Drosophila melanogaster: one gene and its partner. The protein of the gene in region 2 purifies or fractionates together with the protein of the main gene of each other region. This does not show direct contact. Each region holds a gene or a part of one and is shown on either strand. Other genes may lie near its edges.

Region 1 (16,228 bases), 1.9 Mb from region 2:
TGCGATACATTAGCTCGCAGATTGAGAAACAGATCAGAATAGTGGCGTTGTCTGCATCGCTAACGGATGCCAGGGATGTCGCCCAGTGGCTGGGCTGTAATCCCAATGCCACTTTCAATTTCCACCCCAGCGTGCGTCCCATTCCGTTGGAGCTGCACATCCAGGGCTATAATGTCACTCACAACGCCACCAGAATTGCTACGATGTCCAAGCCTGTTTACAATGCCATCCTCAAGTACAGCGCCCACAAGCCGGTGATTGTGTTTGTCTCGTCCAGAAAGCAGGCCAGGCTCACTGCAATTGATGTTTTGACCTACGCAGCATCGGATTTGCAACCCAACCGTTTTTTCCATGCTGAGGAGGAGGACATCAAGCCGTTCCTCGAACGAATGACGGATAAAACTTTGAAGGAGACCCTAGCGCAAGGAGTGGCCTATCTCCATGAGGGCCTATCCGCCTCAGATCATCGCCTGGTGGAGCAGCTGTTTGACTCTGGCGCCGTGCAAGTAGCTGTTATCTCCAGAGACCTTTGCTGGGGCATGAGCATCTCCGCTCACTTGGTGATCATCATGGACACACAATTTTACAATGGCAAGAATCATTCGTATGAGGACTATCCCATTACAGACGTGCTGCAAATGATTGGTCGAGCCAATCGGCCGAACGAGGATGCGGATGCCAAATGCGTGCTGATGTGCCAGAGCAGCAAGAAGGACTTCTTTAAGAAATTCATCAACGAGCCGCTGCCCATCGAAAGTCATTTGGATCATAGAATGCATGATCACTTTAACGCCGAGGTGGTCACCAAGACAATTGAGAACAAACAGGATGCCGTTGATTATCTCACCTGGACGTTCCTCTACAGACGATTGACCCAAAATCCCAACTACTACAATCTGCAGGGTGTCACGCATCGCCATCTCTCCGACCATCTTTCGGAGTTGGTGGAGAATACGCTGAGCGATCTAGAACAGTCCAAGTGTATTAGCGTGGAGGATGATATGGACACGCTGCCACTCAATCTGGGCATGATTGCTGCCTACTATTACATCAACTACACAACTATCGGTATGAAGCATTAGATTTAAGTTTAGGCAATTGTCATCTTCATTTTCCTATCATTTTTTCCCAGAGCTCTTCAGTTTGTCCCTCAACAGCAAAACAAAAGTGCGGGGCCTGCTGGAAATTATTTCATCGGCAGCTGAGTACGAGGATGTTGTGGTCAGGCATCATGAGGAGCAGGTTCTGCGCACGCTGTCTCAGCGACTGCCCAACAAACTCACAGGACCCAATGAAACGGCTCCAAAGTAAGCAACCCATACATTTAGATCTTAAAAAGAATTTTACCAATGTTATTTTTAGATTCAATGATCCGCACATCAAGACCAATTTGCTGCTTCAGGCTCATCTTTCGCGATTGCAACTGGGACCTGAACTGCAAGGCGATACGGAGCAGATACTGAGCAAGGCCATCCGCCTCATTCAGGCCTGCGTAGATGTGCTGAGTTCAAATGGCTGGCTGTCGCCGGCTGTGGCTGCCATGGAGCTGGCTCAGATGGTCACGCAGGCCATGTGGAGCAAGGACTCGTACTTGAAACAGTTGCCGCACTTTAGTCCCGAGATTGTCAAGCGGTGCACAGAGAAGGTGAGAGTAACAACAAGTGAATCTCTAGGATTATCTCATGTTTCGTCGTATATTTCAGAAAATCGAAACCGTTTTCGATATCATGGAATTGGAGGACGAGGATCGCACTCGCCTGCTGCAGCTCTCCGATTTACAAATGGCCGATGTTGCTCGATTCTGCAACCGTTACCCCAACATTGAGCTGAACTATGAGGTGGTGGACAAGGATCGCATCAACTCAGGATCAACCGTTAATGTAGTGGTTCAACTGGAACGTGAGGATGAGGTCACTGGCCCAGTCATTGCTCCATTCTTCCCGCAGAAGCGCGAAGAAGGATGGTGGGTCGTCATAGGTGATCCCAAGACCAACTCCCTGCTCTCCATCAAACGGCTCACGCTGCAGCAAAAGGCAAAGGTCAAGCTGGACTTTGTGGCACCTAGTCCGGGCAAACACGACTACACTCTGTACTACATGAGCGATTCCTATTTGGGTTGTGATCAGGAGTACAAGTTTTCCATCGAAGTGGGTGACTTCCAGTCGGAAAGCGAAAGCGAGTCAGATTAGTTTTCTTTAGGATCATCAGTTGGGCATGTTTGCACAAATGAAAATCAATCATTTTACAATTTACGCGCATTAATTGTAGCAATAATAAATTCGTGTACTACTTTAGTAGAAACCAAATTGTACAAGGATACACTGAGGATAATTATATAAAGTAGTACAAAAAAAAAAAAAAACAAAATAAAAAAAACCTTTCAACTTTCTTTCGCTGGTTGATACCAAGAATCTAAATATTTTGTAGTCAACAGTGCCAATTCTTATATTGTCTTAAGCTTTTAAATTTCGTATGGAACAATTCAAGTTTGTTGTAATTTGTAATCTGGATCATCAAAATGCAACCGTTTAGATTTTAAAAAAATCATTCAAATTATTCATTCAAATTCAATTCAATCATAAATATTTATTTGGATTTTTTAGATATTTGCACATAGGATTGCTGACAAATAGATTAACTTGGAGGTATTTTCCCTGTATGGTGAACTTGGCTTTTAGCGGCTGACAGAAACTGCCGATCCATGGCTACTGCCACGATTGGCTCCTCCATTAGCGAAGCTGTTCGTGGAGCTAAAGTTTATTGTCTGTCCATTGGGAAGATGGTAAACCTGACTCAGCGAAGCACCTGCCGCATTATTGGATCCAAAGGGGCTGGTGTTCTGGGACTGAGTGGCCGTGCTTGCGGAGGAGGCACCGAATGATCCATTGGCACTCTGCGACTGGAAGCCCTGAGCCTGCCCACTGGCGGCCGAGGATCCTGAGTTGAGTCCATTGTTGTAGTTGCTGTGGGCAGCTCCGTTGGATGCGGCCTGCTCCTGGTTGTAACCACTGGGTCCGAGTGGTCCCAGCGGATTTAACTCGACGTTGGCATTGGCATTGCCGCCATCTGGTCCGGCACCAACATCAACACCCGCTTTGGTTCCCCCAGCGCCGGCCGATGTACCTGCCTGAACTTTTCCACCTTGATTACCGCCGAATCCGGGATTTCCTCCGAATCCTGGGTTACCGCCGAATTCCTGATTACCGCCGAAACCCTGATTACCTCCGAATCCCTGGTTGCCTCCAAATCCTTGATTACCGCCGAATCCACCTCCAAAACCAGGCTCTCCACCGAATCCGCCACCGAAGCCGGGATTTCCAGCATACTGACCACCAAATTGTCGCCCAAACTGACGCTTCACCCTCTTGTGAGCGGCCTGGATTCCGGATATTTGATCCAGGACCGAACGGACGCGACGCACCTGCGGATTAGACTTCGGTTTGATGTACAAGGCTGATTCCACCACTACTTCCTCGATAGTGGCGCCCTTGGAAGCTGTAAAATGCAATGGTATATACTTTATAAAATATTTTATATTTATTTTAATTTAATTAATAGAAGCTGAATAATCGGCAAGCTTATTATTAAAAAATTCGGAGCAATCTATTATTTTACTAAATATTTTACGCTTTGTTCGCACTACAGAATGTGTACATATGTATACACAAAAATTTATAGATAGATATGTATTTATATATATTTACAGAATTTCAGATTTGAAAAGTATTTTCCAAATGTATTTAGGAAGTTTTACAATCTAAGAATTGTAAGATTTTCGAGCGTTAAGAATTTTACTTACGCAAATCATCATCGCCGGTTTGAACCTGCTTCTCGTTGCGCTGCCTCAGTTGAGGAAACGCCGACGCAGCTGCCAGACAGATGAGGGCCACAAATAGCACCGGAATTGATACATTCATTTCGTGTTCTTCGATTAGATTGGTTGCCTTCTGGAGATCGCAGCTGGACACGTCCGTTGGCTGCGCCGCTTCGCGATCAACTGTTGGATGTATATATTTCAGCCTGTCCGCTCCGCCGCCAATCGGCCGATCAACTCTCACTTTCAATCGCCGTAGGGGGCTGCCCCTTTGGTCTGGATGGCGCTAATTGCTTCTATCAATATTCAAGATGTTCGGCAAATACGAAGAAAAAAATTGAAAACCAAAACTGGCTTGTATAATCCAACGATTTTTGGCACATGTAACCGATGCAAACTTTGTATAATGTTGTATTATGTAGGAAAAAAACAAAACGGGTGTACAAAAGCCGAAACCGGTTGGCGGCCAAAGCTCGTGGAGGAACTAGTTTGGTTTTCTTTTGTTTATTTTGTTGCTTGGTTGCTTGCTGCTTGGTTTTTGTTGCTTTTCGATTTCCATTTCGGGAAACAGATGTTGTCCAGAACTTTTACGGGTCCACAGAGTGGAGGCGGACAGATCTCCCCGAATGAGTTGGTGCTTGCAAGTGGGGGGCATCCCAGTGAACATTTGTGTAGGATTTCCAAAGGCAGACGCTTGTCTGCCCTTTCAGCTGATAAGAGGCTAGAATTATCGGTTTAGTTGGAATAATCACTTTTATTTCTATTTCTAATCTAAAAGGCTAGACAATCTTTCAGAAAAATAATTCATGGGAGTGCTTAAATAAATGAATAAATGGAATTTTGTTGTAACATACTATTACAATTTAAATTCGTAATTGAAAGAAATCAATTATAAAAGCAAATGGTTTATTATAGTAATAAATTCTTCCATGAATACATTAGTTAAATAAACTGTTTATTACTCTTTCCACATTTAATCTAAAAGTATTGACAAATATTTCAGAAATTTAAGTAAGTTGTGCAATACGAATTTAAACGCGAATTAGGACATTCACAGCTTCCTTCCATCAAAATGAGAATGAAGTGAACGATAACAAAGGGACATTTGTTGAGATCGCTTAATCAAACATGTAATATTGGGTATATGCGAACGACTTGATGATGTATACGAATTTGCGTACTAACTAAATGGATAAAACACAATGAACCGAAAGTAATATATATTTTTTGTACAACTTGAAAGTCGTCATGAGGCGCTTGAATGGTTTGTTTTGCGAGTTTTTCCTTACAATATTGTTTTTAATGCTTACTCTTACGTTAAGGAATCAACAAAACTGAGCACTGTTCGATATAGTTAGCATTTAACCTAGGATAAGTGGTTAATCAGCGGCTGAGGGCCTACTCGATGCCATGGGCGAAGATCATGACCAAACCTGGATCGATCATGACGTCCTCAGTCATGTGGAGGTTGTCGCAGCTCAAAACGAGCACAGCTTGCTTGCCTGCGGAAGAGTAAGTTTAAAGATAAAGCCTTGTTGTTAATATTTATGTTTAAAATTGTTACCTGGAATGCGTCGACACACATAGTTGTCGTAGATCCTACGATTGGTTTGACGTGTCTCTAGCGAACTGAGCCCACGGGGCCAACGTCGCTCGTGGCAGAACTCCATAAGACTATCCAGGATGTGTGGCGGACAGCCCGACTCGGACAAAGCGCGCTTGATCATGAGCTATCAAATGAAAAGTGAGTTAACGTTTTAAAAAAATTTAGAATTTGGGCTTCACCTGCAGTGCATCGTCGGGCGTAGAGATCATTCCCCCCCAGCGCGTAACCCTGGCCCGGGGCAGTGTGCTGCTCCAGCGGATCACCTCGTCGCGCTCCATCTGGTCGGCTATGGCCCGCATCGCAGGATTGGAGACGCGCATGGCACGCATAAAGTCCTTGAATAGCTGCAGCTCGCGCTTCAGTTCGTTGATAGTCAGCTGCTGGTCGGTGAGCTCCGATTTGAGCTCACCCATTTTTTCCGTCTGCTTGACAATTAAAGTGCGCAGCTCCCGCACGCAGTTGTGGTCCTTTAGCTCATCCTTGGGTATGTCAAAGCCGCATCCCTTCTCGCAGGGAAATGGTCGCTTCGGATTGTGAATGCATTCGTCCAAATGGGAATTGTAGGCGTCTAGCTTGAGAACAGCCGTGCAGCCATAAGGCGCATTGTCACAGGTGATTGACAGTCTGGTTGGCAAGGGTCAAAGATTAGTTAGAGTCCACAAGGTTCACAGAGTAGAAGGCGTTGGGTTTTTCTCACCTGGACAGTAGGTTGCGCAATATGCGAGGCACTGCCCGCAAGTTGGCAGTAGTCAGGGAATTTCGATCCACCGGACAAGTGGGCTGGCGGGTTAGCCACTCGTTAATGCATCCGCGGCAGAAGGCGTGCTCGCACATCACGGCCTGAATCGGTAGATATGTATGATTGTTTGTATTTAAAGCATATGTATGATTCGCGGTGTGCGTTCTTTGCAAACAAAACAAACCTGCAGCGGATCCTCAAGCACTCCGGAGCAGATGGGACAGGTGAGCTCCTCGTCCACCTCCCCCTGAAAGCGATTCACATCGTAGCCCATCTTAGGTCCTCAGCACGCTGGCCATCCGCATAAAAATACTATTAATAATTCTTTTCTGCGGATTGCAAAATCTGTGTGTTTTTTTTTCGGTTCAGTCAGTGCAGTGTTGTGTAGTGTGACTGAGTAGTGTTGGAAAGCTAGGATGGCACTTCAGCTGTAATCCGCGAGAAATGGCTTCTTAAAATAACTGTTTAGCTTGAAAATATTGAGATATTTTCTGTTCCACCTTAGTTTTAAACTTAAGTTTGACTTAAAGTCAAAATTTTTGATATAATAGAATTCTTGTTTGATCTCCATTCATTTATTTGTACTATTAAATTAGCTTTGGCCAGGCAGCTTAACAAATTAAATACGTCATCGTCCTGGTTAAAATATGTTTACACACTTGTCGATCATATGATTAATAAATAATATACATATCCTGCCCAAAGGACCACGTCAGCATAAGCCACCGGTGATTAATCAGCGCACAGTTGATTTAAAAATATAGCATCTTTATAATAGGTAAAAATATCAATGTATTTAACAGTCTGGACCGTTGGCATGCCACTATTTGGTATACAATAATGAAATTCGTCAAAAAGGGAGTCCAATGGACATGGCTACCCAATTCATAGACTAACACAACACATAAAACATTTAACGCTTAATCCGATACCCCCAGGTCCCCGCACCCTCGTAGCCAGTGATCCTGTACTATATCTCGTTGCGATCCTTCCAGCCATATTTCTGGCGCTGCTGCTTCTCCCTACTATTGCTATTACCCTGCCTATTGCCATTGTAGGAGGAGCTCTTCGGCGGGGCGCAATAGCAGGATCTCTGCTGGGAGTCCAGATAGGAGCGGCATCCCAGGGTCAATGTGCCGGTGAATAGCATCTTGGCAGCCGCCTTGCAGCCCTTCATCATCAGATCGCTGGCTATGGACTTCTCGTAGCTGTCGCAGTACTTGTACAAGCACCTCTTGAAGTCCAGGTCGCACAGCTCCTTATCGCTATTGCAGGTGTCGTAGCAGATATCGTGGTCATTGCAACATGTCTCCATCTCCTTGGCCGGCAGATAGTCTGTGCTGATCCTCAGGCCCAAGGAACCACATCCATCTGCGGTGGGGGTATAGAACTTATTCTGAACCGCTCTGGGCGCTGTAAGATAAACACACATATGGATGCTGGGGAATTTACATAATGCGCAGTGCGTCACCACACCTGGTCCTCCGATATCCGGTGCGGGGCACTGGTATATGCAGTTCTCGTCCACGGCCGCATCGAAAACCTCGTGGACCGTGCGAAATTTGCGCACCAGCACTATCAGGTTCTTGAACACGTCACCAAAGATCGCCTCCGCGGCTATAATGGCATCCCTTAGCTAAATCCGGGGAGAGAAGATACAGGAGTAACAGATACTAGCTCTCACAGATTTCCTACGAGAAGCGGTGCACCTTACGTGGACTATGGTGCTGGATCCATAGCCTGAATAGGCGTAGGTTAGGAACGTAAGAAGGTATATGGCCACCTTCATCCAAGAGAACTGCATGTTCGCTGTTTAATTCGTTTTTGAAGGGTCAGCTATTTGTTGTTTGCGCGTAATAATAAACTAAACTATGCGAAAGACATTTGTAGCAGTGTGACCAGGCGTCATCGTTCAAATATACCAACCGGCTCGGAAATCATACCAAACTGCATATGAGGTTGCATACTTTTAGGCACTGTCCTGACATTTCAAAAAATCCTAATGGGAAATTTAAAACCGTTTTTAAATATTATAAATAAAATACGTTATGATTTATAAAACAAAAAAATTTATGAAAAATAAAATCTTGTTGGCTTTGCAGAGAGTATTACAATTAATGCTATACATTAATAAAAGTAAATTGAATTTCAGAACACTGGCGCCATCTGGTACAGACAACTCAAAACATTTAACTGACAATACATATACATCGATATTTCGAGGGGGGAAAATTCAAAAAATTGGGAATAAACAAAATTTTCCTTAAATGGATTTGTGGCATATATTTTTGGAACGTATTTTAGTGGCTTGCAGAGTCAGCGCAAGTGTCTTCGCAAATTTCGGCTGCGGTTTGTATTCCAGCTGGAAGCTAAGTGAGTTGTTTCCCACAATTATACTTAGTGCGGCAAGGATACTAACATTTTTATGCCTTACAGTCTGCGGCGACCATGACTCGGCTTCCGGTCTGCGGGCAGGACTTGCCACGCCCACTCAAAGAGGTGAGTGCATGCAGTGTCCTTGCACTTGACAAACAGGACTGAAGCAGCCTCAAAACGAAATAGTGAAATAGGGAAAAAAAAGTCGCGCACAGAAAACGTAAACGCAAAGCTTGCTGACATCTCGTGCCTGCCTTCGCTTAATTATAACATCAAATTGAAATGCACACGGCAATTGTATGCGGCACCTGAAATGAGACTGTGGCACGCAGGCGTCACTCGTACTCGCATTTCGTTTGCACCTGACCTTGTTGGCCTTTATTACAACGGCCAGCGAAATCAACGTGCATAAACATGCGAACGCAACACCCGAAAACCGTTAAAGAGGCGCGCTCGCTGTTTGCTTAAAACCGAAACAGAGGGCTCGTAAATACACAAAACATATTTTCTAGATTTTCTCAGCAACGAATCGGCGCTGCCGCAAAGTCTACTGAAAACAAACAAGACACTGAGGAAAAACACCCCCACCATAAAAACACACATAAACCTTTTGATTTAAAACGACTTCTGGCTTGAATCGTAGGGTTAACTTATGTACAATATGTACATCATGTATGTATTTCATATCTGAATTACATCCTGTATGCATTATTTTCCATCTCTACTATAATAACCAAAAGTCTTAATATTTGTTGAAATAACACAAACATAAATAGGTATAAGTGTTTCTTGGAATATTTAAAAATTCACTGCTGACGAAAAGTCTGCTGGTACTCCTACACTTGGGAAAATCCCACATTTATTACAATTTTCCGACTTTTCGCAGGCAATGTGTCTGTTAAAGCAGTTAAAGAAAAACCAATCCAAAAACTACCCAACATTAGGATTATATTTATTTAATAATCAGGTAAAATCGTAAGATAAAAACGTCTATAAAATCTATTATTAAACGTTGTTAAAAGATAAAAAGATATTTCATAAGAAATATAATTTTGCATTTTCTTATTTATGATAGTAATGAAAGTTGTTATTACACAAAAAAAATATGATAAGAACAGTTAAAATATGTAAATTATTGTCTTCGCAGCGACAAAATATCTACTTTTTTGTCAATGTATGTATCTTCTAGATTAATTATTATATATATATGTATGTATGTAGATTTTGGTCGCTGCAAAGACTTTCAGTTCCGTGATGGTGTTGTCAATTAGGGCGCACACCATGCTGGCCGCCTTATCGCCATCGGTGATTCCGGACCGCCTCCGCCATCCTGATGGCGATGATCCTGTTGCCGCCAAAGCGTTTAGGCCCTCAAATGGAACGGCACTCGGGACACTTGGCCAAAACCAAATATCTGCACACATGGAGAGCAAACACAAACACATCCGACTATCAAGCGAGCATCCCGAAGCCATCTCTCCCTCTCCCCTTGGCTGCCAGCAGAAGCATCATTATTACCATCGTCATCATTGCCCACTGCCCCGCCCCTCCCGACCAGGCCGCCCCCTTTTCCGAACCACCACGACTGTGCTGCCAACTGCGACGCTGACGTCGACGTCGAGAGCTGTGGCAAGCGATTCGCAGATTTTACGTTTCAGTTTCGTGCAAAACGTGGAAGCGGCTGGTCAACCCAAGAAAAACACCACAGAACACTCAGAAATCATTCGAAAGAAAATTGGAAAATTTGACATTGGTCTTCAGACTAGTCAACAAAAAAAAAAACAAAACCTATTCAAAGTTTGCAATCATCACGTTTGATTAATTGCGCTCAGTTGGACTAATTTGGCAATCTGCTGGTTCAGCGGAGGAAACTAACAAAAAACCGAAGAAAAACTGCAAGTTGCGCTGTAAAAACCGGAAATTCTAGATCTCTCGGATCTCACGATCCCAGCGTATATAAACAAAACAAAGCGGCACCTTTAGACACACAACAACAACTAAAAGAAACCGAAGAAAAACCCACGAAAAAAGTGACACAAATAAAGCAAATCGCGATCGCTGTGTCCAGTCGATCCGCAAAAAATAATACCTATGGCCCCCGTATACCTATAACACCCATAATACCTATACCTATACCCCCTCCCGCCGAGAAACGCTGAGTGTTGAGTTTATTTCTGTTTCTGTGTCGGCTTCAGCGGTTTTTTCGCCTTTTTTTCTGTTATTATTGCCGGCCAGAAGCGAAGGAAAAATCGAAATCGACGGCTAGTCGCGGAAAATCGTGCGCTCTTAAAGTAACATATTTATTTTTAACAATTTCGCAAGCGTTCAAATTTTGCTCCAGCAAAAAATCAGAATCAGAACTCACCAACCAACCAGACAATCGCAACCTGAACAACAACAATAAATATAGATCGGCTGTGGGATCGTTAAGTAGGAAAAAAAGAAAAACAAAAACCAAAAGGCTAAAAAAACCAAAAACCAAAACAAAAACCAAACCAAAAGGCAACGACGACGGCCGGCAAATTTGGATCTCAAAATTTAGCTCGGTGAGTAATCGTGGGTAGTGTAAAAAGTGGAAGCCAGCAGCCAGCAACAAATCATAAATGCTTGCTTTCCAAAATAGAAACAAAATGTGGAGATAAATTCGTTTGATGATTAAGCTTTGAGTACTATAATTAGGCGAGCCGATTTAATTAGTACAATTAGCAAATTACACCTCACATGGCGGGCTAAATCTTGATATTTGGAGTGGAAGTGGAAGTTGGAAAGTGTGGGTTTTTTAGATACTTTGAGATCTTGCTAATGCAGTCATTAAGTTCGTTAGATTCGTAGATTAATGCGTCTTTAAACATTTAAATAGAGGTGGAAGATCTAACTCGTCATAATGTTAAAATAAATATGATAAATATAAATAAGAATAAAATGCTAAAATGTCTGATTTAATGGTATATATCCCATATATCCCACATATATATAAATTAAAAAAGGCGTGTAAAATATTTTGAATTTTCTTGAACATTTCAAAGTTCAGAAAGCGTGATAAATTATTAGATTCTTCACTGACAAATGGTAAATATATAAAAAATTCCAAAAATGTATGATTTACTTATGCTTAATAATTCAAGAAAGATAATATTCGAGTTTTCCGCTTCTTTCAAAATCTGCCAGCTATTTGCATTCAGGTGACCCCATTTAAATTGCTTTTCTTCATGTCGCGCTTCAATAACTCTTCGCCAACTCAGTCAAGGACTTTCGAAATCTATTCCCCAACTTCTCCATACGCATAAATGTTTATATGTTTGCCTAGCCAATTACAGCAGTGGCAACTTAAGTGAGGAACTAGCACAAGGACAACGGAAGTACTTGCTCCATAAAAACAAATCCAAGACCATAAATCTGTATCGTCCTTATGTGAGTTTGGGAAAACCAACCAGATCCCAGTGAAAATACTCGTAAGGAAAACAAAGCGTGTCGCTGTATTTATGTTATGATTGCATTTAGCCGGCATTATTTTTGACGATTATTGCCATTTGGGTTTTATTAGCCAGAAACGCATGGGAGCGACAATCCTTATTTCGTCAACCGAAAATGGCCAATGAATTTTCGTTTTCGTAACACCCCCATCATTAATTCAAGTGAATGCACTTATTCAGTTAATTACATATCCTGGCGTATGAAAAATATTATTAATGACAACGCCTACAGCAAATTCTCTTTGACTGTTTGGAAATTCGAAAATACACCGATGACGATGATATTAATATGAGACGCTTTCTTTTTATGAAAAAGTAAGCTATCTATAAATTCGTGAACACATATTTTTAAACAAATCGCCTCGCGCTGTTCTGAATTAATTAAGCACACAATTTATGCCTTAGGTCGCCCAACGAATTAATAAATGTTGCAAACATTGCACCCCAAATTAATTTCCCCTATCAAAAGGTCAATTGGCTTGCAGTCACAAGATTAGGAAATCTTCTTTTGCTCAGCATTTTAAAATATATTCGCTGATTTTCCGAATAAATCAAGTGTCTTTATGTTAGGTGAGCTAAGGCCCATGGGAAAAGTTTCATAATTTTTTCGAGGAAATTTCCTTAAGCATAAAAGTTATACCGAATAATTTATTGAATTCAGCTCATAAATGGGATTTGTGTAGAAATATTTTGAATGGATTTTATAGGAATATAAGTAATTTCAAGTTGTTAGGGGTTCCATTCTCTGGAAAAAGTGCAAATAGGAAGATATTATCTCGAAATTTGTATATTATTTGGCGTAGCTTTTCTAAAGTAAACGTCATAAAACGTTTATTGACCCTTGCACGGAATCCGTCTCTTAATCAGAATTTGTAAATCCATTTCTGCAGAAGCAGATAACCCTGATCTTGCGAAATCTCACACCCCATTCACCTGATCTTAGCATCTTATCTCGCAGGCACTAATTCTTGAGTTTAACGTTAGTACGAGCCATATACAATAGTATATACTTTTTATTGCGTTTTCCATTCACGAAAAGTAGAAGCGACTACAAGAGAAGGAAAAAAAAAAAACAGAGTGCTGGCCACCGGAAGATTAGGCAACAATTTAACATTTGGCTGGCTGGCTGGCAACGACGACCCCAATTTCCATTTCCATTTTCAAATTTGGCAGCCGCCAAGGTGAATGGGGCCGATCTTCAGAGTGTAAGTGGGTATACATATGTGAATATATATGTATATATATATATATCTGCATATAGGACTGAACGATCGGCTGAGATCGGTTGTTTCTGCTTCTTGGTTCTTTTGGTCGCTTTGCTAATTTACAGCCCGAGTGATTGTCTACAATAATTTTTGAAAAATTATTCTCAAAACAATCCATGCACTTTGCCTTAGACAACTTTAATTTATATTTCCGCACTTTAATGCGTTGGCGTTTCATTTTCATATTTTCCTACCGAAAAAGTCCAAACATTTCGAACGCGTACGTAAATAATCCTGAGTGACAGTCGTTCATAAAATTAATGTATGCGTAATAACAATAATAATAAAAAAAAACAAAGCGATTGCTTAAGGAAATATTCCAAGAAATTGTTGAGTGGTATTTTTCGCAAATATCAAAACGTTCTACAATTGCAAGGTTACAATAGGTTACAATAAAGCGATATAGATATGCATATCCATACGTATACTTAATATTTCTTGAGACGCAGTTAAATATATTTACGTAAATCCAGGTTTATCAGCGGTTGCCTTTTGAGGCGTGTCAATTGCAATGGGGGAAGACATTTGTTACGTAGGTAAGACAACTGCGAAGTTAAGCGAGATGATACAAGGTTTAAAAACTAAACCATTTTAAATTAGTCAAAAAAAGCATGGAAAAGCCAATCGATTTTCGAGCTACGTATAATTGGAATGACTGGGAAGTACTTCTTTATTTTACATAATTGCTTTAATGTTTTATGCATTTCTTGTCTTTTTATATTTGTGTGAACTATATTACGATTTCATCACTTTCTCATCCATTGTGTATAGTACTTATTTGCACTTGAGCTTGATGTTTCTACATTTCTGCAAATATATTCCCTTTCACCGAAATTGGCAATAAACCCTTTTGATGCTCGGTAGTCAAATGCCACGCCTGACTAATCTATTGTCATCTTCTTGGCCTTCGAACAGCCAAAGCTGTAGTTAATGATGCGCATCAATTCCTGCCCTCCAGTGCACATTTTGGTTGGCGCTATTATGCATCCTCGTCGAGTCAATCGAATGCTCTTCTATGGACCAACTGGCCTAGATTGCCCCGGCCAGCGCTTAAACAATAAAAGCCACTCAGGCCAGCCAAGAATATGCGGATAGAAGCGCCATGTAGATGGATATTGATTTTATAGTCGGATGCGTCCATCTCGATTTTGCATTTCGGGTGGACCGACCTCAATACCGTTTTATCGACTTTATTATTTCTTGAGTTAAATGCATCGGGGCATTAAGGCGAACCTCAAGAAATTGCCTTTGTGTCTGGGGACTCGGGCGGGGGATTGCCTTTTGTTGGCGCAGCCGGGCAGCCATCAAATTGAATCAAGACTGCAGCCATTGTTATTAATAATATTAGTATGTGATATTAACGGGACTGCAGCCTCCATTGTGCCGGCGGTGGAAACCCTTTGGCACGCGAACTCAATTTTCCTAGGCTGACAGTTTATAATTCCTTTTGTTCGGACGCCTGTCGCTCTGTTGATAAAACACTTGTTGCTCGAAGCATAGTAGTACACATGTATGAACATATAGTACCACACACACATCTGACCGACGGCCATTCCATTTCACTTTCAATTTACGAACACTACAATGATTGGACCGGGCCCAAAATACAAAGCCATCATCACTATCCTCGGCTGGTTAATTAAACGACCATGGTCTGGCAATGGGAGCTGACTGGGCTGGACTTGGCTGGTTTGGATGGTGGGATTTGGCGTATAAATACACCCCAAGGCAATTTGAAAGAACAATGGAGGCGGCATTTAGTCGAGCGTATTGGGCTTTTAATGGATATGTGAACAGAACTTAAAGAACGGGAAATAAATGGAAAGAATGCAGGTTATAGCGTAATTGTTTCCTCAAATGTTTTGAGGTCAAAGGCAAAGATATCTATAGTGTACTACCGTAATATAAATAAAATATACAGTATAAATGTATTGATTTGCTGTTCAGGAATATCAAAATGTCTTATTTATCTGTTTTAGTATGCCATGTAAATACTCTTGATACGATTAAGATCAATACTTAAATTTTAAATTGAAGTTTAAGAGGCGTACTCAACATAAATAGAACTTAGAAATTATAATACGACTTTTCAGTTATACGGTTATTTAGTCTTGAAATGATTTACTTGGGTAGTTAATTATATTTTGACACCGTAATACATTGTACTTAAATCGTTATGTGAACTGTTAAACCAACAGAGAAACGTTACAGCTTTGTAATTACGGCAAGTGTAACCCCTTTCCCGAACTGCCTTCAATCAATCACACTGGCTATTTGCTTTGTTATCCAAATATAACTCGACAATTCATTTCCAATCCATTCGATTGCAGGAAAAGCGACAGGAGACAACGGGACGACAGGAACTCCGGCAAGGACAATCGGAAAACCGCAGGCGAGGATTGCGACAGCGATGTCCACGGCGACTTGTGCCCGCTTCTGCACGCCTTTGTCATCCGGCACGGCAGGATCCACATCAAAATTGACAACCGGAAACGGAAGCGGCAACACGATGACGTCGGCGTACAAAATTCCATCAAACAACAGCACAACAGCAAATGACAGCAGCAACACAGAGACAACATTCACATTCAAATTGGGCCGCTCGAACGGCCGAAGTAGCAGCAATGTAGCCTCAAGCGAGTCATCCGATCCACTGGAGTCCGATTACAGCGAGGAGGATCCGGAGCAGGAGCAGCAGCGACCCGATCCGGCGACCAACAGCCGGAGCAGCAGCACCGCCACCACCACCACCACCAGTTCCGCTGACCATGACAATGACGTCGACGAGGAGGATGAGGAGGACGACGAGAACGAGGGGGAGGGCAACGGCCGGGATGCGGATGACGCCACTCACGATTCCAGCGAGAGCATCGAGGAGGACGATGGCAATGAAACCGATGACGAGGAGGACGACGACGAGTCGGAGGAGAGCAGCAGCGTCCAGACCGCGAAGGG
Region 2 (16,191 bases):
AGTACGGTGAATAGCATACTTAGTACGGCTCAAAAGCTGCACATGTTTGATGATAAGCCAAAAGGTAAGTAAATTATAATTGACCCTTGTATAATTGGGCTAGCAATTCTAACCAAGTACCGTCTACAGGTGGCCACTTCAATGCTGCACCCACACTACTCGAGCAGCAGCAGGAGAAGATGAGCGAACGATCGCGCTGCTTGCAGCGGACAATATCCTGTGACTCGCGGGTCATCGAGCGATTGGGCACAGGCGCCGCTGCAGGTGCCTTGGAGAAAGTTACCACGGCATCAACCAGGCGCGATGCCGTCTGATTAGGTATGTGGATATTGAGAAAACCTTGAATCTGAAAAGTCTTAATTGAATGCCTTTCAATCCATAGTAAACTAAACCAACTGCTGACCACAAAAAAGTAATACAGCTTCATACAAAGGCCGCTTTATTGCAGGTTGATTCAAATTTTATGTATCTGATAATAGCTAACCGGTACCAAACAATTAAAGCAACCAACCCGTTCTTTGATTTTGCAAAACCAAATTATAACAACAATTACAAGGCGCATAAAGTATGAGCTTGCACACCTTTATGTAATGTGAATTGAAATCAGGAGACGGACGCCATGCAACCAAATGCTATCAATGAATGTATATTGGGAGACAAACACACACTTTGCATAGCAAGAGAGTTTGGGAAAACTGAAAACGAAGATTAACTAAATTACTTAGTTACTTTATAGTATCGTTTATGTCACAGCAATCAAACCGCTTAACCTACTTATAAACAAGGAACCTACAATATATATATATGCACATGTATATGCTAGACACCTTTAAATAGAGCCTATGTAGCGCGATATAAGCATAAACTTACATAGCACATAGAATACGAATACAGATTAGGCAGCCAAATTTGAAGTTGTAAAAATGTTAGAAATCACTCTTGGCTTATTTACTAATTGAATATGTATTTTTAGTTATTAAGTTCAATCAATCCTGAAAAAGTTCCGTTTTCGCCATTGCAGAGGAGCCGAAAGTAGATGCGCGGATGGTCTATCCCTACATAATATATATTTTTGTGTCACTTTCGTTTAAATTTTGAATTACTTATAATCGTAGAAATAAAAAGTATATATTAATCACACTTAACTACAATATTTACCCAAAAAAACAGTTTAGCCAGACTTAAAAAAAAAATGCAAGCAATATTTAAAACACATTACCTAGTACAGAACTTGGCAAATAATACAAACTGTAATTGTTAGAGAGACCAGCGAAAACAAAATCCGGAACTAACAAAATTGTAAATAATATTTTTAAAACCCAAACATGAGCAACCAAAAGGATGAAAGTAAAAACTACTTGTCTTATTAAGCAAGTTAGTTAAGTAAGTTAAAAAGAGTACAAAGCGAGGGTTAATTGATTGAAATTATGCTAATGGATCGCATTAAAATTGTAAATAGAGGCAGCAACAGAAAGTGTCCGTAGCCATTTTCGTATATAGGCTTAATTATTTTAATCTTTCGAATTTCGTCTAAAGTAAAATATTCACAAATTAATTGTAACATTAATTTGTTTAATACATAGCTTGTCATTAGACTTAGATCAAGATTTTATTCAGATCAATGCTCACCGAGGAATGTGCCACAAAATTTTGTTTTCTGCGTAATTTAATCCGGTGAAATTAGCAAGATTAAATTTTCGTAACCGTTTTCGATATGTTCCTTGTTGCAGCATTTTTCAATCTTCACCGTGAAATATACCTAATTTGTTTACTTCCAATACGCACATAAAAAACAAAATATTGGAATATTGAAAACGAAAATAGAAAGAAACTCATTTATGGACCCTGTGAAAAATGATCTATTATTGATTCAGATAGTCTTTGTTACGGATAACAAACTGGACAAAACATGCTGTAAAAAACATAAGTTGTAAAAGTGTTTACCAATCTCTTTTGAGGGGCAATAGTATATATAATCTTGTACATATGCAATTTTAATTCTAACAAGCAAATCATGCAGGTGGTCTTTGGCGAAGCGCTTTTTAGTTTTAATTTAACATTTATTTTTGTAAATATGCATATGCAACGTTTATAATGTAATCATCGCGTAAGTGTAAAATATTTTACTAAGCCGATTTTATGAAAAGTATGTTGTTAATTTTTTTAGCGCTGTACAATACAAACAAGACCTATATAAAACCTTTTGTTAGTTATCTATACATAACTGGACAATAGTTCGTAATTTTCGTAATAGTTTTTGATAGTTCTAGCATAAAGGAAAACGAAATTATTTATAACTTATTTGGTTGGAAATACCTACTCGTAATAATTTGTACTCTACACCTAGATTCTTTGTAAGCGCGAATTTGAATTGTAAGTCTAAGCATAATGGTTTTAGTCGTAAGTATACTTTGGTTCAACAGATGTAAATTAAACACGTTAATTGTTTACTAAACACAAACACAAGCATGCCTAAAGAAGTCGGCAAACAAGCTTTGTCTGTAAAATACATTACAAATGAATTGATAAGATTCTTTAACAATAAACAAAAAACCGAAAAACACAAATAAAACGAAATTAAAATGAAAATATACCAATTGATTTTTTACTTCATTTCCAATTTCAACTTCCAAGCGGGTGAAACATTTTTAAAGGTGGTTATCGGTGGCTTTAAATTCGTAATAAATCTATTGTTGAATAAAATATTCCATTCCCCCCGAAATTTGAAAAATGAGAATCGCATACAGGCACATTTCGAGTTAACATTATTTTTATTTTTCATACAATTCGTACAATGCCTACCTATAATTAATATTAAATCGCAAAATATTGGCTTTACCTAGTGAAAAGTACTTAGCATCCTAATAGCCGATAATATAAATTTCTGTGAAACATTTCGTATACTTTAGGAATAATATGTGTATATTTGCGTGACTTCCTAAAGGTGAAGGTTCCGGAACCTACAAAAATATATAAAATGATTGTTTGAACTGGTTATCGTAACACTAATTAAGGTAGTTCTTTGTTACACGCTAGATTATATATTTCTATACATATCGGTCGAGCTGTATATTAATTATGAACAATTAACGATTCTGAAAACTAAGAACTCGTTGGGGACTGTTCAAGCTTTGCGAAATAATAGAGATATTTGTACATTTATATAAACCTAATGATTTAAGCGATCCGCATTAATACCAATCAGCATTAACACATCAAAAATATGGATCGCTCTATATATAATTATAGATTCTACTTGTGGATTACAAGAAGATTAAGAACGAAAAGATTTCGATTCCCAAGTATATTTACAATTTAAATTGAGCTGGCGCTTTGAAAAAATTGAAAAAATTAACTATTTTAAAGTAGGGGGATGCAATAAATTTGTCTAGCTGTGACCGATATGCCGATGTGCCCGAGACCCTATAAACTCATTCGTTCCGGCATGCCCGATTGAATTGACGAACTCTATGGACTAGTTTCGCGTTGGTATATCATAAGAAATTGGCGCGGCCTACAACATCAATGGCCAATGACATTGCGCAGTGGCAATGTCATACCCATACGTATTTGATAACAGCTCGCATAAATTCTTTTGTGACTATACAGCGAGTCTGAGACCTTATCTCAGCTCTACAGCAACCAAAACACTCGGCGCTAGGACTTATTACTATTGCAGCTATTGACATTGTTATTGTTGTACAAGTATGGTATAAGATTGGGCTCAATCTCCAGCTGCTGCCTGAGTATCGAGCTCATGACGAACTCCGTTGAAACGATATGACACTTGGGATTTCCGTGCCGCGTGAGATCCGCACAGAGATGCATGTCCGTGGGACAGGTTACTATGATGTAGGAATCGGGCGCTTGCATGTGTGTTTCCGCCACAGATGCACCGCTTCTCCGCTTCGGCTCCACTTTACCACCAGACGATTCAATCATTCGTATAATTTCTTCGCGAGCTGGGAACACGTCCGGCGTCACATGGAAGTATTTGCCGGCAAACAGCGTTGAACGAGTGGGGGCGCACAGCACGGTATTCAGATTGAACTGCAGGTTCTCGTCCACCGGTATGTGCTGAATGCGGTATGGATCTGTAGGCACAAATTTACCAGCTTTGGCACTATCAGCAATCCAGCTCGACTTCAGCACATAATCGACGTGGCAGCAGGCCTGGATTAGCTTGCATGTACGACTCTCGCGTGTCATTACCAGGTGAGTGGCATCTGCAGGGCTGTCCACCACAATTCCACCCAAAATTCTAAAAAAAAAAAAAGGGAAAAGTTAAAAAACGAAACTAAGAATACGTTGTATTATACTTACAACACAGCTTTTTTAAGAGCCTCGGCATCTGCGACCTGGGAAAATATGACCTTTGGTGGTTTGGTGGTAGTTGGATATTCTACGCAGACAATTTGCTCTGGCAGCTGCTCCTGCTGGAATGCGTTCATCTTCTGGCGCTTAAGTTTTTGCTCGTTGCCGTAAGGATCGGATAAGTGTCGCTTGACCCGTTCGTGTGCCTCCTGAGTTAGATTGATGGGCGCCTTCCAAGCAGCTGTTAAGAAACAAATCGTCAAATGATTTTACAATATAATACGAGTTTAGTTTGTACTTACTTAGCAGATGAGCCACCAGATTGCATTCGATGCGGAAGGGAGCGACCAAGTTGTACTGCTGATACTTGGGATTCTCATACTGGGAGAGGCCACTAAGGTTACCGATGCACACGTCGCTTAACCAAAGCGCATTGACCATCGGTATGTTCCACTCCTTGGCGGCATTAAACTTGTTGCCCTCGAGCTGCTTGCACACGACCACTGTGTTCACCTTGGACAGATAGGATGTGTAGATGGCACCGCACTCCTCTGCCATCTGCTGTAGTCTCACAACCTCCTCGCCTTCAAATCCCTCGGAGGTTATGATGTAGCGTTCTAGGGGCTTACGATAGCCAAACTGGCTGGGGAACGGTAGGTGCAACGGCTGCCACGGTGGCATCAGTTGGCGCTTTAAGCAAATATCACTCAGCCAGTAGGCAGTGACGCAGCGCTTGGCATCCCGCAACGCCTGCATCACCACGCCATGACGCTGAGTGCGACAAATAACATGGGTTACTCGGGGGCAGTAAACACGTTCGATGTCACCGCCAAACTGTCTAATCGTATCTAGCCAAATGGGCAGTTCATCACCGTCTGTTTCATCGTATTCCACAATGTAGAACGTACAGCCCACCAAAAAGAGATCGGCTGGTAACTTTAGGTTCGGATTGTGCCCGTAGAACTGCGGCATAGGGATCGGTTGCTGACCAGGACGAGTTTGAATGTAGCCGTGAGGAGTCCGCTGCACTGGCACACCCACGCCCACTCCCACAGCCATCTGTTGCTGCTGCTGGGGGGACTGTGTCGGAGCGACTACGATCTGTTGTTGGACTAGATGTTGCTGCGGTGCCTGCTGCTGTTGTGGCAGGGCGACAACTCTGCGCATTTGCTGCTGTTGCAGCAGTTGTTGTTGCTGCTGTTGCTGCAACATGAGCAACTCCTGCTGAGTTCGCGGTGGTCCAGGAACTCCGGCTGTTGCGTTATGTTGCTGGCCCATCATTCTAAGAGCACCAGCTGCCGACGGTGGCTCGACGTGTTGCTGTGGTGGTAATTGCTGTTGGACAACCATTTGTTGTTGTTGCTGCTGCTGCTGTTGCTGTTGTAATAGTAATTGTTGCTGCTGCTGCTGAATGGCTCCGGTCACCACCACCTGTTGTACAATCTGCTGTTGCTGTGGCTGCTGTCCATCGGGAAGTTGAATTATTTGCTGTTGTGGTGTTTGAGCTCCATTATTTCCTAAGCGATTGCTCAACATGTTGGCCAGGGCTGTCTTCGTTTTGAGGTTCATTTGCTGCGGTGATTGTTGCGGCTGTCCATCGGGAGCTGTGCAAAAGGAATTGGTTACTATGTGCATTGTCCTTTTTTTAATGATTAAAGATGATTCGTATAATTGTAAAAGTCACTGTAGCAGACAAATGCATTTACTTACTCGTTGATGTCATGACCAAAGTTTGCGTCATTATGTTGGCATTTCCGGGAAGAACACCTCCTGCTCCTGGAGTTGTAGGTGTGCCTGGTGCGGACTGCTGCTGCGGCTGTTGGACGATGGTCTGTTGTTCAATCAGCTGACCATTGGGTCCGGTGATAAGCTGCACTGTTTGCTTGCCCAGCTGCTGAGGTCCCTGTTGCTGAATGGGAATCTGCTGGACTCGCAACTGCTGCCGCTGCATCAGCATTTGCTGGTTGGGATCATTGGGGTTGAAGGGCTGCTGTTGAGGAGACTGCTGCTGTTGCTGTGGTCCCGCTCCTGGCTGCTGTTGAATCGGACTCAAGCCAGGTGTTCCGGCGCGTACAACAACCTGTCGTTTTCCCTGCTGCTGTTGCAGCCAGAGGACTTGTTGCTGCTGTGTTAATCCGGGTGGCATTTGGTGTTGGACAATAATGTGCCCGGGCGGAACCGGACCTGCCGGTCGCGTCGCTACTATGCTGCCCGGTGCTCCAGGTCGCGGCTGGTAGGCAACCTGTTGGCGAAGCATTACTCGAGGTTTGTTCTGCTGATTCAACTTAGTAATATATTCGGCTCTTTTGTGAGCATCCAATGACATGAGGTGTGCATGCGTTTTTTCGTCCACCACGATTTTTTGTTGCTGTGGCTGTTGCATTACCAACTGTTGTTGCTGACCAAGATGCTGTTGCTGCTGCTGCGGCTGTTGTTGTTGCGGTGGCGGCAGCACGATCTGTTGCTGTTGTTGAGTGGGTTGAGGCTGTTGCTGTTGAGGCTGGCCGGGCCAAGAGGTTTGCGGCCGCAATCCACGCGGAACAAATTGCTGCTGAGGCTGCGGCTGCGGCGTTGTTGGTCCACCGGGCAGGGGTGATTGCATCCCAACACTGGTGGGTGTGCCTGGAGTGCTGGACGCCATTTGACCGCCAGCAGGACTTTGCGGTGACCAATGCTGCTGCTGCATTTGTGGATGGTGTTGTGGAGACTGCTGTTGTTGCTGAAGCAACAACTGTTGTTGTTGCTGCTGCTGCGGAGGCGGCGTGCGTTGAGGCAGTTGTTGCTGCGTGATAAGCTGCATTATTTGTTGCTGCTGATTATCGTTGGACAGTTTTTGCTGCAGTATCTGCTGTTGTTGGGGCGTTTGCTGCTGTTGTATAAGGATTTGCTGTTGTTGTTGTCCCACTAGCTGTTGTTGTTGTTGCTGCTGCTGCTGCTGTTGTTGTTGTTGCTGTTGTTGCTGCTGCTGTTGCTGTTTTTGCATTAACTGCTGTTGTTGTAGGTACTGCAAGCGCTGTGGATCACTGAGTATTTGCTGGTTAACAACAATCTGCTGCGGCTGCTGCTGCATTTGCATCCTCTGCTGTTGCTGCTGTTGTGGTATAATCTGCTGCTGCTGCAACATTTGTTGTTGCTGCACAAGTTGCTGTTGTGTCTGATTGACCACGTAAACGTTTTGGCTCTGCGGATTTTGGGCTAGGATTTGCTGTTGCTGTTGTACGCTAAGCTGATTAAAGTGCTGCTGGCTAATTATAAAGGTCTTTTGTTGCTGCTGCTGTTGTTGTGGCTGCTGAACTCCAGAAATTTGCTGGTGTGAATCAAACGAAAATTTATTGGGGTAAATATTTAAAAAAAAAGACAAAAAACTAAGAGTAGGCATACCTGCTGTGGTTGTTGTTGCAGCTGCTGTTGCTGGGGAAATTGACCAATAATCTGCTGTTGTTGTTGTTGTGGAACCTGCTGCTGTTGCTGAACATTGGTTGGTGGACGTTGTATGGTTTGTTGAATTATCCGCACTTGACCACCAGCTCCAAGTGCTATTTGCTGCTGTTGTGTAAACTGAACTTGTTGCGGTTGTTGTTGTTGAACTTGGTGCTGTTGCGGAAGCTGTTGCTGCTGCTGTGCCGGTGGCAGTTGCTGCACTTGAGTAATCTGTTGTTGCTGCTGCGGCTGCTGTTGTGCTTGTTGTTGAACGTGCAACAATTGCTGCTGCTTCTGCAAGGCCAAAGACATATGACTTTGAATGATTTGTTGTCCTTGAGCCGTGGATGTGTTTATAACATGGCGCTGAGTGATGACTTGTTGCTGTTGTCCAGGCTGTGGCTGTTGCTGCGTCAGGACCTGCTGTTGTTGCTGCTGCTGTTGTTGTTGCTGCTGCTGCTGCTGTTGTTGTTGTTGTTGCTGCTGTATTTGCTAAAAAGAAGTAATCATTAATTTCCGGTAAAAAATAATATATGTTCTTTATTTTACTTGAGCGTTTTGTTGGTTTGGCTGCTGTTGCAAGGTGGGGGTAGTAGGTTGCTGTTGCAGTGGCGATTGTCGCGGAGAAGGGGTGTGCTGCTGTTGTGGTTGCTGCTGCTGCTGCTGTTGCGGTTGCTGTGCCATTTGCTGCTGCTGGGGCTGCGGTGCCATTTGTTGTTGCTGTTGCATCTGTTGTTGCTGCTTCAATTGTTGCTGCCTCATTATCAACGAGTCCTGATTGCTGCTCAATGCAGATCGACTGAGCACTTGAGCTACCTGAACGGGGTCCGTTGGGTCGATAGGCTTCTGCTGGGAGAATGATTGCTGCGGCTGAGTGGCTTGTCCAGGAACCACCTGATGCTGATGCAGCTTTGCCTGCATGGGTGGAGTTTGAGAAATCTGGGGCGATTGCGGAGAAATATGCTGGGGACTCTGCTGTTGCTGTTGTTGCTGCTGTTGGGCCAATTGTTGTTGCTGCTGCAATTGCATGCGCTGCTGTTGATGGACGGGCTGTTGAAAGGGCTGCATCTGTTGCTGCTGTTGCGGCGACATCATAGATTGTGGTTGAGGTTGTTGTGGCGAGCCCATCATGTGCTGTTGTCGATTCTGTTGCATTTGCTGTTGCTGGCGCAAATGTTGTTGCTGGGCGTTTTGCGGCGAGGGCGGAGGTGGCGGAGTCATTTGGGGAGCTGGGGATTGCAGTTGTCGCGGCGATTGTGGCGGCAACATATTGCTAGTTGCATGATGCTGCTGTTGCTGCAACGATGGGGATGGCGTACTTGGTGGCATTACCGGCGAACGGTTTTGCACCATCCGAGGCGACTGTTGTTGTTGTAGATTCTGTTGCTGTTGTTGCTGCTGCATTTGCATCTGTAATTGCTGCTGCTGCTGCATAACTTGTTGCAGCTGTTGTTGAATTTGTCTCTGTTGCTGCTGCTGTTGCGGCGTCAATGCTTGTCCGCTTTGCACGATTTGCTGCAATTGCATTTGATTCTGGTTCAAAATTTGTTGCTGCCGCATTAGATGTTGGTGTATGATTTGCGGCGAAACCGGCACAGATTGTTGTTGTGGCTGCTGTTGCTGAACAACTTGCTGCTGAACAATTTGCTGTTGCTGAACTATCTGCTGCTGCTGTACCATCGTTTGCTGCTGGCCCACTTGTTGCTGCACCACCTGTTGCTGTTGAACTATCTGCTGGTGGTGCTGAGGGGATTGCACGGGCTGCGGCGTTGTAGATGGTGTACGTGGTGTCTGCCGGCCTGTTGGAGTCGTTGGCAGTCGGGGCGACTGCTGTTGCTGAGGAATTTGTTGTGGATGTTGTTGAGAAAGTTGCTGTGGAAGTTGCTGTGCGATTTGTTGCGGGTGTTGTTGCGCAAGCTGCTGTTGAAGTGGTTGAGGATGCGGCTGTTGCTCCTGCTGCATTAGTTGCATTTGGATTTGTTGCTGTTGCTGAGACTGCTGCGTTGTTTTCATTTGTCTCTGCTGTAGGATATTTTTGATTTGCTGCTGGTTTTGTGGTTGCTGCTGCAGGTTGGCGGGGATAATCTTCTGCTGCTGAATTATTAATTGTTGTTGATGCTGCGGGTGTGGTGCAGGAGTAGGTGCTTGAGGACCACCTTGCTGTAACTGGTGAGGGGATTGTTGTGCTGGCTGTTGGGGTTGTGGCTGTGGGCGCACAAAGACCACCTGCTGCTGTGCGGGTACGGGCAGCTGTTGCTGCTGTATTTGTTCAGCTGAAGCCTGCAGCTGAGACTTAATGCTAGCGATGCTCTTGGCAGCTACGCTGTCCTCGCCAAAGCCAAGGATGTCAGATAGGGCAGAAGTAGCCGTTGCCTGTTGCTGGATAATCTGCTGTTGATGTTGCTGCTGCTGCTGCTGCTGCTGTTGTTGTTGTTGTTGTTGTTGTTGTTGTTGTTGTTGTTGTTGTTGTTGTTGCTGCTGCTGCTGCTGCTGCTGTTGTTGCTGCATCTGGTGTTGGTGCTGCAATTGCTGCTGCTGCTGAATTTGTTGCTGCTGCGTAGCCTGCTGCTTTTGTGTTCGCTGCTTTTCAATGGGCTTCAGCAGTCTCGGATGATACGTCTCCACGGGCATGCAGTTTTTGTACTTAAGGCTATCTGTCACCCAGTCGGGCGTCACAATAATGATGGCATTCTTGGGCAGGGCCAGCGCCTTGTTGTAGATGCCACCGTTGGCTGCACCGCACACCAGATGCGTGTTGGTGGCCCCAAAGCTGTGCGTGACTACGGCACCGTGGTATGTCAGCATGGCGTAAAGACGCCTTCGATCCCCTGCCACTACATTGGTGATGGCCACCCGAATGCCGCGCATCAACCGCATTTGATTCGGACTCGGGTCGAAAGCCCGTGTCGAGGCCATTCGGCCTAGCTTGGCGCTGTGCACGATCCATTGCTCCGTTACGGGAATTGCACTGTAGAGGTCCAGGTTCATGGACAGCTCCTCCTCGTTGTAGTTGGTGGCGCATATCATGTGGGTGATTTGGTCCGACAGGAACAGTTTCGATTGAGCGCCACCGCTCTTAAGAAAGCGTTCGATCTGCAAGGCAAAGGCATAATAATTATTTATTACATTACTTGATTTAAACAGTATATATAAAAGATATATGTATGTGACCAAATAAGAATTCTTTTTTCAAGGGTGCCAAATATGTTGCTTCCGTTGGTAGAGGAGAACCAAAACAAAAATCAGTTGATTTAGCACCAATACAAACTCCAGTACACAAACACACAAACACGGCAATTTGCCGGCAACTTTTATGGCGCGCATTTGCCAAGGTGCCCGGGTTACCCTGTCCGCCCGCGCTCCAACCCACCCTGTGAGACGCACGCACACCCGCTCACACAAACACACACACACGTACGCACAATGCAAGTACAGCAACAGCAAACGAAAGATTCGCTTTGCAGCTTTTTACCTCCTCGTCCAGATTTCCCAGCACAAAGTATATCACATCCTCGAACAGTTTGTCGCTTATCTTGAGGTTCTCCATGGCGCCGCCGTTTGTTTGACCACTTGCACTTCTCTGGCGGCGCTAATTTCACTTTTGCTTTTGTTATTGCTGCTGCCGCGGCTGCTCGTGGGCATCTACATTGCAGCGTGTTTTCTCGTCTTTCCGCTGATCTTGGCCATTTGCGAACTTCGAAAAACGGTGTGCGATGCGGTGCTTATCGCGTAGCACATAACAAATGCAATTTGGAACCGAAAAATTGCATTTAAAGATCACTTTTTCTCTTTTATCACCGCTGCGCCTTCCGCCTAGAGTTGGTACAAAACACTGTTTATGCGATACTATCGATAGTTCCAGAAGTGTGGCAATATGGATGCTTAATCTGCTGGTATCGATTGGTGGAAAACTTGGATATTTGATTGATTTCATTTGTACTGTGGTCCAAAAAGCGATTTTATTGGTTAAAACTTTTTTAATTGGGCCTAAAACTCACTTTGCAAGTTCGATTAACTTTTAACTAAAACACGATGTTCGTATGAAAATATATGAACCCATCTATTTGTATTAAATATTGTGTATTTCCCACCTATTTTGGTGATTTCATTTCGTTCCCGTCCAATTTGAACAACCAATTACCATACCACACCGCTCGAAGGAACGTTTCCTAGTTAATTAGACTCCACTCCGGGCACTTATAATTTAAGTAAACATTTGTATGGCACATTTCCGATTCAGTTGTTGGGTTAGCGCCCCAGGAAATCAACACATTTATAAGTATACGTACATACATTTATTTTAGCTCTGCTTGATTTACAAATTCATTTTAACTCGACTGTTTGGTTTTTGCATCAAAAATTTAGCTCTGCAAGCAGCAGTACCTATGTTATTATCAATTAGTTGGTGAAATTCCGTCAACTGCTTATAGAATGAATGCAAAAAAAAAAATATAAAAACATTTTCCATAGAACATGGTGAACTTTTAAAAACTTTTGATGGAATCCCAGTAATGTACGAGAACGTGTGTGTGTGTGTGGCTGGCTGCTCCAACTTAAATTTATTATGCTCGTAATACTTACAACTATGTACGACGAGGGTAAGTTAGTTTAATGTTACAAAGATAGAGATATATATAACTGTTGCAATAAATTTCGCGCTGCTCGGCTCGCCATCTTCGCTTCCCCGGCCTGAGAGATGGACTGATGAGTTGATCTTGAGATTGATTGGCCAGTGCGGATGGCGATTGAATTTAACGGGGGAAACACGGAACATGGTGCTAGAATTTCAGTTTAAACTGTCGCGAAATGCCCGCACAATCCGGCAGCAGCCATCTTAGCATTAGGTTTTTCATTAAAATTAGGTATAGAGCATTTGAAGTGGGGAACGGAGAACTGGCTGCACTTGAGGTTGTGGATACAGTAGAGGTGAGTGTTGAGTGGTGAGTAAATTAGCTCGTCGCCGGGAACTTGTTACAGGGTTGGATGATCGAAGTCTTGCGCGCCGGCACGGTTTCGGGCGTGGGAATGGCCTCCCCGGTGGTCACCTTGTTGGCAAAGACCTGCTTGACGCCGCCACCCTTCTGCTTGGCCATCTGGTAATCGCCCGAGTCGAAGAACTTTTGCTGTGGGAAGGATATGAAGGAATACATATTAGATTTCTCTTATATAATCAAATAGCTTTTTAGAACTAAAACGGAGATATCTTCCAAATGCAAACTTAATGTAACAATCTGATTTCGTTTACCAGATCATCAAGTTGATATAAACTATGCGCTGTGATTATTGAGTTTCATTGATTTCAGAAAGCAATTGCCAAATAGTATGGATCTTAGAATAGAGGAAACATGAATTGTTATTTTCCTTTAAACAACGGGTACTAAATACTACTAAATAATATTATTATTATTATTTTTAATTGATATTCATATTACAGGGTTTGGGTATCCCCGAACACCGAAAGTTAGTAAACTTATTGTTTGATTGTTTTCGAATTGTGCTAATCACTTACCCCCTTCTGCAGCCTTTTCTGGAGGAAGGCCGAGTGTCCGCCCGGCACGCGCATTCCGCTGGGATACTTGGACTTGAGTTTCTCCTCCTCGATCTTCTCGAGATCCGTGAGGTTAGCCTGCTCGGTGGTCTCGGTGTCCTGGGGCGTGGTGGCCGGGCTGTTGCTGTTTTCTTCCGCGGAGCTCATTGTGTGCTGCCTACGGGTGATAGTACTGGGATTAGCCAAGGTGCGACAATGGCGACACGGGAGAACTTAAATGGCAAAAGGAGGGGGAGGCGGCGGAATTGCAGAGGGGCAGCGAAAATCGGAGGCGCGCAAAATGCCAAGAGAAAATTGCATTTCATTACACACACACACAGACACAAACGCGCTAGGCTCGCACAAACACTGGCACGTAAATCCAGGGCAGGCGCACGCACACTTGCTAATATATGTGGACGCGAAATATTATAGTAATAATCGGATGTGCAAATATTGTTTTAATTTTTTATATACACCAACCACTACGCAGGCGATAAGGCTTGTGTGTGCGTGCGTTTGCTCGTCGATGCGGTTGTTTGTGTGCAAGGCGTAGTTGCTCACCTTTTGCCTGTAAAATTTGACGATTAACTGTTGTTTTCCTTCTCCTTTTGTTCTTCACCCGTCTATCAGTGTGTCTCCTTCCCTGGAATCGAATCGGTTTTGCCAATTAGCGTGCCGACTTAGCGGAGAGTGCTGCTATTCGCTAACGATTCCGGCAAATGATGTGCTGTTCGACTAAATCAGGCTGTTACACGAGCTATGTATTTGGTGTGTGGAGAGTGACTGAAATTCCCAAGGCGACTCAATTGTAAAATTATTTTATCACTTTACAGACGCAAGACTGTCTTCGATAGCAGAAGGCGTTATTTCGGAACATATCGTTTATCGAAACTACAGTTGCTCAATACTGAACTGTCCAGCTTCGAGTAGCTGTGGCTCAAACCATTGTTGTCATCGATAAGCAATTGCAATTTTATTTGTTTGCTTAAAAAATTAAAATATAAACTACGAGGATCAAATAAACATACATATTCCCAATATGTTAGCGAAAAAATATGCTCAAAAAAAGATGTTTAAACACAATGTAAGCTGTTCTATGCATTGAACAAATTAACACATTGAGAGGGCGCTCTTATAAGTGCACATTTCAATTTAAATTTATTTTAATATATTCAAATATAGTATAGCAGTATAGCATTCAAATGTAACTGTTGGTTGGACTATCGCTGTAGTCCAAGAACTGCAGATAGTGTCATCGCTAGCTTTGAAGCATCTCAAAGGAAAAAGAGCGATAATTCTGATAAGAAAGTTGGCGTAGCCGGAAGGCGGATTGTCACATACAAAATAGTTTGGAAAGCCCAAACTGAGGCGAACCAATCACACAACAATCCACGCCCACAATGACCGCCCTGCGATACATGGGATGGATCACCGGCTGTTCCGTCCTAACGGCCTTTGTTTCCATAATTTGGCAGGCATTCATCGCCCTGCAGACGCTTAACAGGACGACTGTCCTGCTCACCGGTCTCCTGGCAATCGAGGGGTGAGTTCATTCGGCTACACTGCAGCACTAGCTATATATGCATTTGTATTTCAGATCCCTGAAGCGGACCGCGTTGGAACCGGCACCCAAGGTGGCCATCGGCTACGGAGCCTGCACGGACTTGCAGATAAACGCCACTGAATTTCTGGATCGCTACTATGGGCGCCGGATTCCAGTCGCAGCAGCCACTACAGGATCTCGGGCGGTCGTGAACAACGAGGACGAGCTCTTGCAGTCCTTTGCCTATTACTTTCAGAACGGCGCTGCAGCGGAGTAAGTTGCATGGAAGGATCTTGGATATCCAATATTTTATTGGCTATGCAAGTTACTAACAAAGTATTTCATACTGGTCCACTTTTCAGGCGAGTGATGGCAAACAGTACCCTCTTCACACAGCTGGTGGGCTACGCCAAGGTGATGGACAAGGAGAGGATCAATTGGTACATGGGTGGTAACGCCCCACTGATGGCCGTGCGCTTTTTTATGGAGGGAGCTCAAGTGCTACTGGGCGCCCACATGTCTAGAAAGTAATTACCTATCTGAATAACAAATTATTTCATGGAACTTAATGTAAAAACTTCTTCAGGCTGCGGCCACTGCTGCCAAAGGAGATTCGTCTGGCTGGTGACGAGATTCCAAACGATGACATCCATCTTATTCTGGAGTACAAGGCTGGTGACAAATGGGGCCCATATGTGGCACCTCGCGCCAATCGCTACATTCTGCACAACGATCGAAATAATCCGCATCTGCGGGCCGTGGAGCAGTTGACGGATGCTTTGAAGATGTATCAGCCACAGCTGTTGGTTGTCAGCGGGCTGCAAATGATGGACATGTTCACCTTTAAGTCTGGTGAGCGAGAGGCGCGCCTGCAGCAAGTACAAAGGCAACTAACCAGCCAGCCGCAGGGCACTCTGAACCACTTCGAGATGGCTTCTTACGTGGAGTTGCAGCTGCTTCAACAGCTTCGACACTTTGTACTGCCCTACGTAGACTCCCTGGGAATGAACGAACAAGAGCTCTCTAACCTGCAGCAGGTTCTTGCTCACGGACGGACGACCTTAGCCACCGACTGGAATCCGCGCATAGCTCACACCCTTGACCAGATGCGGCAGGTTTTCATTAGTCTCCTTGAAGATTACGAAGACCGAAGCTCAAGCGATGCCAAGCGTCGCTCTATCTCGCGCATACATGTGCACACGTTGGCCTATCAGGCGATCCTTACCACAGCGGGCTCCAAGTGGAAAAACACACGTGCTGCCGCTGCAAAGGCAGCGCTCACTGCTCACCGATACGTCTGCAAATCCCAATTTGTGAGTACGCATTTATGTGTAGTATGTTTTAGTTTTGAACTGATAATTCTTTCATCCGCAGATTAACCCGG

The links.
Region 1: the proteins of endos (region 2) and elgi purify together in Drosophila melanogaster (affinity purification with western blotting, with the first as the bait; one study listed by BioGRID). This does not show direct contact.

What each region holds. Positions count from the first base shown.
Region 1 is NT_037436.4:15,946,955-15,963,182, reverse strand, and holds elgi (early girl), read right to left. Parts: upstream 6,634-16,228; 5' UTR 6,434-6,633; coding exon 6,344-6,433; intron 6,261-6,343; coding exon 6,118-6,260; intron 6,045-6,117; coding exon 5,600-6,044; intron 5,545-5,599; coding exon 5,379-5,544; intron 5,317-5,378; coding exon 5,213-5,316; 3' UTR 4,750-5,212; downstream 1-4,749. Other genes in the region: Brr2 U5 snRNP complex subunit, read left to right, coding at 1-1,068, 1,133-1,307, 1,363-1,645, 1,704-2,189; CG17032 (uncharacterized protein), read right to left, coding at 2,675-3,495, 3,800-3,917; GXIVsPLA2, read right to left, coding at 7,130-7,572, 7,636-7,795, 7,874-7,963; Pka-C3 (protein kinase, cAMP-dependent, catalytic subunit 3), read left to right, coding at 8,427-8,532, 8,596-8,658, 15,604-16,228.
Region 2 is NT_037436.4:14,017,564-14,033,754, forward strand, and holds endos (endosulfine), read right to left. Parts: upstream 14,144-16,191; 5' UTR 13,826-14,143; exon of another isoform or gene 13,745-13,825; intron 13,668-13,744; exon of another isoform or gene 13,440-13,667; 5' UTR 13,430-13,439; coding exon 13,244-13,429; intron 12,858-13,243; coding exon 12,684-12,857; 3' UTR 12,016-12,683; downstream 1-12,015. Other genes in the region: upSET, read left to right, coding at 1-64, 130-314; Ptip (PAX transcription activation domain interacting protein), read right to left, coding at 3,658-4,261, 4,324-4,555, 4,617-5,918, 6,025-7,621, 7,696-8,226, 8,284-10,827, 11,207-11,281; CG6650 (uncharacterized protein), read left to right, coding at 14,665-14,807, 14,862-15,080, 15,170-15,334, 15,394-16,120, 16,182-16,191.